Arabidopsis thaliana: one gene and its partner. The protein of the gene in region 1 interacts with the protein of each later gene in a pairwise test. Each region holds a gene or a part of one and is shown in the gene's direction. Other genes may lie near its edges.

Region 1 (4,119 bases):
GCTAACTTTCTCAAACTCACAATCTTGTTTCAAAGTGCGCATCAAGATGTTCCTCCTCCCAACCAAATAAACCTCTCTACATTCCCATCCATACCCTCCTGCTTTCATCTTTTCCGCTATTTTCCTCAGCACCACAACCACATCCTCAGGGTAACCAGGGTATTCAATCTCCTGATCACCGCATTCCGGAACGAGCATCTGGTCGTGGTCTTGTGAGACCACCACATCGTTCTGGTGGTCTTGCTGATCGGCAGTGCTCCTCCTCTGGCTGTTGCTGTCATCGGTGACAACCACAGACTCTTTGGTCACAGATTCTTCTAAAATGATGCGGAATTCGTCTTCCAAGAAAGCCATTGCACGCTGCTGAATAGATCCCGCATGGTTGATCAAGGACTCATGATGGTCCAAACAGGACTTGGTGTTGAGCAATAGCCCCATAAGCTTTGAGACACGATCCACTGCCTCCAAAAGCGAAGACACCTCTTCAGGATCTTGGTACCACACAGTCTTAGGCTCACCAGAGTCATATTTGGAGAGTTTTTCCTCAAAAAGATCCAAGAATTTCCCAACAAACTGTGGGATCTGAAAGTAACCATCCTCTCCTTTCTCCTCGGTGCTATCTTTGTGCTCCTCCATGTGAAGGGAAAGAGTCGGGAGAAACTGATCGAGTTCTTCAGACAAAGACTCCAAGGTTTGACGAATCTCTGGTGCTTCTTCTCCTTGTGAAACCTTGTCGACATTGTTATCTCCTGGATCTTGATGATCTGTCTCCGCATTACCAACAACATCTACATTTTCGTTACTGATACCATCCTGATGATGCGCATCATCTGAGGGATGAGCATCCGAAACGACGTCGCCTTTCTCATCTCCCTTGGATTTGTCATCATGATCAGGGTCCTTGTCGTTCTTCTCCATGGTTTCTTATTATTTACGTAAAAAGCTTTAAAAATGGCGAAGTGGAATTGAGATGCAGAGGAAGGAGAGATTCATGTGTTCTGTTTTCGTTTAGACTTTTAGGATTTGTGGTTAGAGAGGCGATTGAGAGAGATGGTCGCAATGGCTGAATCGAAGAAGTAGGGGAGCCTTGTTTTTTTGGTGGTTGACCGTTGACTTTTTCTTTCATCCAATCCAACACCAGTAAAATCTATTTTTAACCAACACAAATTAAAACCTCGTAATTATTTAACTCTTTTTAATTTGTTTGTTTACAAAATGTATACATTACACGACGAAGTGAAATATAAACAATAATTTGAATAAAAAAAGCGGGTAACGTGGGAGTATGGTGCGCACGCATATTCCTCACATAACTCTATACGTGCATGCATAAACCATCCTTCATTTCTTCATGTTTTGTTTTCAAGCAATCATATATCTTAGCTATTTTTAATGAAAACTAGTCATCCAAGAGTCATCTAAAATATTAAAATGGACATGGTAATGAGAAATAGTAGCTGGTTTTGTGGAGGAAGGCCAATAAAAAGCCCACATAAAAGTTGGGCCCAATAATCTTCAATTTTATAGTTTCCAAATTCAAGTCTGCCTTTATTTTACTACTAGTAAAGTCAGTAGGAGGAACAACTAGGCAGTGTTGTGTCTCCTCTCTTCACATGCACGAATAAATGCAATAAAGCCGTTTATAGAAAGATAAGGCTATATAGTAATTGGTTTAGGCAGACGTGGGCTGGCTCGCAATTGTCAAAGGAGTTCCAACTTTTTACTGTGTTTGATAAATTAATGGTAACCAATTGGATGAAGAAGATCAAAATATTGAGAGAAAACAGAGAATGATGAAACGGTAATAATAAGTGAAAGGATCCAGAAGAGGGACCCTTTTGCAAATGGAGAAACCCCAAACTTGCACGTTTCTCTCTTCCTCTCATCTCTCTTTCTTTTTCTTAAGGAATAATATGACATTTTCTTCTCTATATTGTTTTTTTTTTACTTAATAAGTCAATGGACATCCCTCAAAAGCACCTTCCTTTTTTTTCCTATTCTTTCTCATCATCTTTCTTATTATGAACTAAAATAAATGTTCAGACAAAGGAGCCATTTCTACCATTTATAATTTTATATTACACAACTATATGTGTGTTTGTGTGTGTGTGTAGCCGTGGGGATTTATATATACATATAACATATATTGACAACCTCTACTACTGTCATTTAGCCTGCAAAGCCCACAAACAAAGGGCTACACAAGTCTTCCTTCTCTCTCTCCCTCTTCCTCTCTTTAGATGGAATAATGGATCAATGCTTGTAAAGGTTTGAAATTTGATCAAGTTTTGAAGAAGCAAATTGAAAAAGAAAAGAAAAGAGAAGACATGGAGGTGGAGAAGAGGATTGTAGTGAATGGAGGAATGAAATTGCCAATAGGATACAGATTTCACCCAACCGAGCAAGAGCTTATCCTTCATTACTTGCTCCCAAAGGCCTTTGCTTCTCCTTTGCCTTCCTCCATCATCCCTGTCTTTGACCTCTTCTTCTCTCATCCTCTTAGTTTCCCAGGTCTCTTTCTCTCTCTCTCTCTCTCTCTATGTTCCTTCTGTCAAAGCCTCTATGTGTGTATATGTCTCCTCGTTTTCCTCAACTGTTTTTTGTTCAAAATGGTCTATCTTATGTTTGGGTCTAGATCCGGGGTGTCTGATGCTAAAACTGAAGAAGTTTTGCTTTCAGGGGACCAAAAGGAGAAGCAGAGGTACTTCTTTTGCAAGAAGAGAGAAGTGTCAAGTAATGAGCATAGAATCAAGATTTCCTCTGGTGATGGTTATTGGAAACCTATTGGTAAAGAGAGACCAATCATTGCCTGTGGTAAAACATTTGGGATTAGAAGAACACTTGCTTTCTATGAAACAAACAAGTCTTCTTCTTATTGCAACAAAACTAGATGGAGCATGACAGAGTATTGTCTTGCGGGATTTGCGTCGGCTAAGGTACACAATAACTACTCTAGACTACTGTAAGAAAGACATTGGAACTTGTGATAATAATGGGTTAAACAGGTGTCTGGAGAATGGGCAGTGTACAATGTTTATGAGAGGAAAGGCTCAAAAGGAAGAAAACAGAGGAAATCAAGAGAGGGAGATGATGAAGAATTGAGATGCATCGACCATTTTACGGTTGGGTCAAATCATGAAACCGGTCCACCACCGCCTTCTCCTCCTACCTCAGCTGATGAGTAATATATATATCTCATAGGAGACGTTGAGATTGTGACAAGCTCCTAAACCCTAACCTACTATTCCACTTACGTTTCTGTCAAGCTATTTAAAAAATTTCAACGTCTTGATTTATTTGTTAGCGAAGTAAGTAAAGTAACATGGTTCTAGGGGAGCTCATTTTGATCTGAAACTGTTGAATTGTATGAGTTGAGATTTGCACTTTTGTTGGGCAAAACCAAATATATGTCAAACTTGTTGATTATTTTTACTTGAAGGTATTTTAAATTAACATTATCATGCAAGTAAAGTGATATATAGCTGAGGAATACGAAGTAAAGTTGAATTGAAAGGAGGTATCTATCTTTCTCATGGATGAGAACTTGATTCCTTTTCTTTTCATACCACATAAGAATCCATAGCATCTATGTATTTTTAAGAAACAATTGTATAGACTGTTATATTATATCAATAAGTATGGAAATTAATTTATTAATATGAGATGGAGATGCATTTTGTATTAAGGTATAGCAAGTTGAAAAAGTTATATAAATTGGTGTGTTATTTATGTATATATATGTGGATGGATGAGTTATATATACAAACAAATTGGTGTGTTGGAAATAACAAAGAGACAGAAGCAAGAGTTGAAATTGAAATTGAAATGAGTGGAAAAAATGAAAGAAGCCATCGCATGGGGTGTCGAGAAGCTAAAGTTCTTCGTGTCGAACCATATTTTTTAATCAAAACATACAGATACATTTATTGTCATTGACACGTATTTTAAATTTAAACTCTATCAGAAGCCAACATATTTTCTTAAATATGATATGTGTTTGACAAACCAAATGATAACATGCGTGTGAGTTGTAGAAAGAATCATCGTAGATATAATTGATACGAATACATTTGTTTGAGTGAAATTCATGAATTAGTAGAGTTATACATTTGTTTGCAT
Region 2 (5,500 bases), on another chromosome or scaffold:
TATAGTTTTTATGAATATTTTTATAATTGATTTTGAAAATTCTGAAGTTAAAAACTTGGTTAAGAGATTGAAATTTAGGCAATATGCAATGGTGGAATCTTAACTTGGAGTTCTTAAAAAGAAAATTTGAAAAAAAAAATAGAAACATTATAATTTTAAAAAACTTAATAGTTATTACAACTCATAAAATTTAAAACATACATGACATAAAATTTTAAACAAATATGACAAACAATTCTATTTAATACTTAAGTTATCTAAAAATTAAGATTAATTAAATTAAAATATTATATTTAAGACCTAATTTATCTAAGAATTAACTTAAAAAACATTAGATTTGGCTCTTATATAAGAGCTATTCTTAACCATTAATTGAATTATAACATTAAATTTAAGATCTACTTTATCTAAAAACTAACCTAAAAAACTATCAATAATGATGGTCTTACGAATGCCTAGATTCTCTTCAATATACAAAAAGTACGGTTTAGTTATTGTTTGGACATTTGAAATCTAACTAATTCTCTTTTTAGTCTTAATGCAATGGAATTGCAAATACTCCATAAACCATAGTGTTGCACCCTAACCGTATCTCTCTCTAAAAGAGAATCTAGTCAACAAGATTATGTTTAATCTCTAATTAATGACAATAAGATTTACTGCCAAAATAAATAAATAAATAATAATAATAAGATTTACTGCCATTTATTCTTCTATATTTTTCAATTTTTTATTTACACTTGTTCCATAATCGTCCCAAGGAGTAGACTAGGGTTGATGCTCTTTCATCTATAAAACGACTTAACACAACATGTTCTTTCACATCATCATCATAAGCCTCAACAATCCATCACCATACATATTAGATTCTCCCTCTTTCCATAGTTTATTTTTGGTTCGTTTTATTGTAAAAAGATATCAAACTCTTTTTGGGGGACATTCGTTCTTCAAGTGTAACAGAAGGAGCTCCCTTCCTCCAAAACGAAGAGGACAAGATTTGAGGAACTAAAATGCAGAATCTAAGAGTTCATGTCTTCCTCATAGAGAGTGCGCGGTGTTAAAAGCTTGAAGAAAGCACACTTTAAGGGGATTGCACGACCTCTTAGATTCTCCCTCTTTCTCTACATATCATTCTCTTCTCTTCGTTTGGATTGAAGGGAGCTCCTTTTCTTCTTCTCTTAATTAGTCTCTGTTCTTCAAAACTTGGTTTCGATCTAACTTGTTTTCTTTTTCTCTAGTGCATTTTTTTTTTCAGGTTGTCATGTTTATTTGCAGGTGTTTGTGGTTGATGCTTGCATGGAAGCAATATTAATGTTGTTTATTTACGAGAAGACGTTCGTGTGCCAATTTGAAAATATGATATTAATGGAAATACAGATTAAAACTGACAAATGTATAAATATTTCTTGTTCCTTGTTTTAATTTTAACATTAGTCGTGTGTTTGTCGTAAATACGAAGGGGACATTTCACCTAAAAAAAGAAAAAAATATATTCATCAAAACTGGTCTTGGATACGTTTTTAGTTAAAACAAGAACAATAATAAAGTTAGGTTTAACTTCGATCAGATCGAAACAAGTACACTATAATTGTTTTGGTTTGAGAAAATATACCATCGATGGTTTCAAGAAATAATAGCAGCTGGGTTGCTTGTAGTCGATACGTTAAGTCGTATCATCTCAAATGATCCCTAGTAGTACACAACATAGTCAACTGGTTTGTCATGTGTTGGCCTACGAAGAAATGTATACCGGCCGGATTTCAATTTATAAATTAGTCCTTTTTTTTTTGTCAAGTTATCATTGCATAGCCAAGTTTCACTCGGTCAAAATCTAATTAACAAAGTCTGTAAAACGTTGAAGTAATTGTATTTTATTAAAAGAAAACTCCAAATTAGACTTTGATTCCAACGAATATTTAACGACATAAAAGGCATTGCCGTTTGTTGAACGAGTTGTCTTCTTACCAAATTTGACGCTTTCCAACTAAATACACTCCTAATTTTGCCTATTACCTTTTTCCTCCTCTAATTAAGTAAATGCTAAATTTCCCCCAAATACTAAAAATCGAATCCGATAAGTCAAAATCAAAATCGTACCTACGCGATTTATGCAAAATACCGGAAAAAGAACCAAAGTGCTTATTACAATCAAAAGACCAAACCGGTTAAACAATTAGTTAGGCTGGCATTAACGAACCTCTTTGTCTTTAATTAGCCTTTATCCGTCACCGCCCTGTTACCATAACCGTTCAACGTCGACCCGCTCTTTGTTTCAGAAAAAAAAAACAGAGAAAGACTTTTTTAGTGTTTCTTTGTCATTTTCGTTCCTCAAAAAAACCTTTTCGAATTTGACCCTTATTGTTATCCTGATTCTTCTGCTCGGTTCTCGCCGGAGAGAAGACACGGAGAAGAGGGTTTTCGAAAAGGAGGATGAGAGGTTCCAATAACACCGATCTATTTGACCCTAAGACGGAGATGGATTCCAATTTCTCTCGCCATGGTTCTTCCTCCGAAGGTGATTTTGGTTTCGCTTTCAATGACAGTAACTTCTCCGATCGTTTGCTCCGGATCGAGATCTTGGGTGGGCCTTCGGATTCTAGGTCTGATGCTGAAGGATGTACGAGTATTGCCGATTGGGCTCGTCATCGCAAGAGGAGAAGAGAGGACAACAAGAAGGACAATGGTGGTACGTTTGATTCCCTATCGGTTGGAATCTCAGATTTTGTTGTTGTTTTTATGAATTGTTCTTATGGTTGGTTTAGGGCTTTTGGGTTTAAATGTTTAAGAAACTTATACGTTTTGCATTTCCAGTTGCGATTTCAGACATTGTGGCATGTGCTGAAGAACAGATTTTAACCGATAACAACCAACCTGATATGGATGATGCTCCTGGTGGTGATAATCTTGACGATGAAGGAGAGGCAATGGTTGAAGAGGCTTTATCAGGTACCGTTCTAAATTTCACATTGTCTCTCGAGTGACTGGGTTTGAATTTGTGATACTTAACAATTTTCAGAAGAGCGTTTTTTGTTGAAGTCATTTGTCTGAAACGTGATGGCTTTGTTTATTAATGGTTTTTGTAGGTGATGATGATGCATCTAGTGAGCCAAACTGGGGTATTGATTGTTCTACTGTTGTTAGAGTTAAAGAACTGCATATTAGTTCTCCTATCTTGGCCGCAAAAAGCCCCTTTTTCTACAAGGTATTAACCTTTTTTCTTCTTCTATGTTCTTATTGTTTGCTCTTGTTCATCTCGCATGTAATGCTATCTTTTGCTTCTTGTTTTCCTTACCCTGTTGTAGCTGTTTTCTAATGGAATGAGGGAATCAGAACAAAGACATGTAACCCTTAGAATTAGTGCACAAGGTACGACAATTTAAGTCAAGCTTTTAATTCATTTCTGCTATTCTCCAATCTCTTTATATTGGCTTCAATTCTCTACTAGCTCTCTGTTGGCTTCTTCTTGTTTTGGATTCTTTATGCCTCTTGTATTAACTCAGTTGCTGACTTTGATTTACATATGATATACGATATTAGCTTTAAGGGAGTCCACATTGTTGATTTCTCATGCTCTACTTTTATGTGTATTGTAGAGGAAGGTGCTTTGATGGAGCTTTTAAACTTTATGTATAGCAACTCTCTAAGTGTCACAACAGCACCCGCTTTATTAGATGTTCTTATGGCTGCTGACAAGTTTGAGGTTGCTTCCTGTATGAGGTATTGTAGTAGACTACTGCGAAATATGCCCATGACCCCTGATTCTGCTTTGCTCTATCTTGAGCTGCCCTCTAGTGTTTTAATGGCTGAAGCAGTGCAACCTCTAACCGATGCAGCAAAGCAGTTCCTTGCCTCGCGCTACAAGGATATTACCAAGTAAGACTCTCCAGTGGTTTGAAATGCATTTACTCTAGTGTTGTATAATTCTTGTTCATGTGTTACCATCTTGTACAGGTTTCATGATGAGGTTATGGCCTTACCATTGGCTGGAATAGAGGCGATACTATCGAGCGATGATCTCCAAATTGCTTCTGAGGATGCTGTTTATGATTTTGTCTTGAAATGGGCAAGGGGACAGTATAGTTCATTGGAAGATCGTAGAGAGATTCTGGGTTCACGCCTTGCACTCTACATCCGCTTCCCATACATGACGTGTCGAAAGCTGAAAAAGGTACTAACGTGCAGTGATTTTGAGCATGAAGTAGCATCAAAGCAAGTATTAGAAGCGCTCTTCTTCAAAGCAGAAGCCCCACACAGGCAACGCATCCTCGCAGCTGAAGGATCGGACTCCATGAACCGCCGTTTCATAGAGAGGGCTTACAAATACAGACCCGTAAAAGTGGTGGAGTTTGAGCTTCCTCGCCCGCAATGTGTAGTGTACCTGGACTTGAAGCGAGAGGAATGCGCAGGACTATTCCCTTCAGGAAGAGTCTATTCTCAGGCTTTCCACTTAGGAGGTCAAGGTTTCTTCCTCTCAGCACACTGCAACATGGACCAGCAAAGCTCGTTCCACTGCTTTGGGCTATTCCTCGGAATGCAAGAGAAAGGGGCTGTGAGTTTTGGTGTGGACTACGAATTTGCGGCAAGAGATAAAAGTACAAAGGAAGAATACGTAAGCAAATACAAAGGAAACTACACATTCACAGGGGGGAAAGCGGTTGGTTACAGAAACCTTTTCGGGATTCCATGGACTTCGTTCATAGCCGAGGACAGTCAACATTTCATCAATGGCATTCTCCATCTCAGAGCCGAGCTCACCATTAAACGTTCCTCAGACCTGCACTGACTGTTTTCTTCTCTCTCTCTCTCTATGTCGTCACATTTAAGTTGTATAATCTCGTTATGTAGCAGCTCTAACCACGAGTGTCCTTTGTACAATAATTGCCTAAGGAGCAAAAGTATGGCTTAAAGAGTACCTCATTCTGTAAATTCTTTGATTGGATTTTTTTACTTTTCTATATGGGTCTTTATAAATAGTCCAAGATAGAATTTGGGCCTAGCTTTTGAGGTTAGTCTTAAAATATGGGCTCAAGGCCTACTACGATGCGTAATGATGAAGCTAAATTGCCTATAGTGTGAACATTAGGCTTTTATATTCAAAGTTCAAACAATGCGGCTATAGCAATGGTACATCGAGGAAATAGAATGAAGTGACAAGGATAATTTAGGAAATGAGGATAGAGGAATTGAGTCCTCGTCACATGGGGCCCACATAAATGCGTAAGTAAGACTATCCGCTTACCAGACGGACACGTCATTTTGTCGGGACACGTTTGAGCCGTTGGATGATTAATCTCCTTTTCTGACTTATCGACCCCACTTTTTTTTTCCACTACAAAATATTGATGGCCACGTCAGATGATTCGAAGTTATATAAAACACACGTTTTTATTGCAGCTTAACCGTCGATTTTTTTCTAATCGAGAAACCGAGATCAACGGTCTATATTCAAAGCTGATGTGGTCTGTACCTTTGCTTACGTCACCGAAAACCTAAGTTGAAT

The links. The genes of interacting proteins can lie anywhere in the genome.
Region 2: the proteins of NAC084 (region 1) and LRB1 interact in a two-hybrid assay, tested with the Arabidopsis thaliana proteins (one large-scale study listed by BioGRID).

Annotation. Positions count from the first base shown.
Region 1 is NC_003076.8:4,515,850-4,519,968, forward strand, and holds NAC084 (NAC domain containing protein 84), read left to right. Parts: upstream 1-1,949; 5' UTR 1,950-2,327; coding exon 2,328-2,936; coding exon of another isoform or gene 2,937-2,966; exon of another isoform or gene 2,967-3,005; coding exon 3,006-3,185; 3' UTR 3,186-3,574; downstream 3,575-4,119. Other genes in the region: EXO70C2 (exocyst subunit exo70 family protein C2), read right to left, coding at 1-918.
Region 2 is NC_003071.7:18,993,681-18,999,180, forward strand, and holds LRB1 (BTB/POZ/Kelch-associated protein), read left to right. Parts: upstream 1-1,964; 5' UTR 1,965-2,430; coding exon 2,431-2,686; intron 2,687-2,811; coding exon 2,812-2,946; intron 2,947-3,083; coding exon 3,084-3,202; intron 3,203-3,302; coding exon 3,303-3,366; intron 3,367-3,593; coding exon 3,594-3,873; intron 3,874-3,951; coding exon 3,952-4,783; 3' UTR 4,784-4,992; downstream 4,993-5,500. UniProt on the Arabidopsis thaliana protein: May act as a substrate-specific adapter of an E3 ubiquitin-protein ligase complex (CUL3-RBX1-BTB) which mediates the ubiquitination and subsequent proteasomal degradation of target proteins.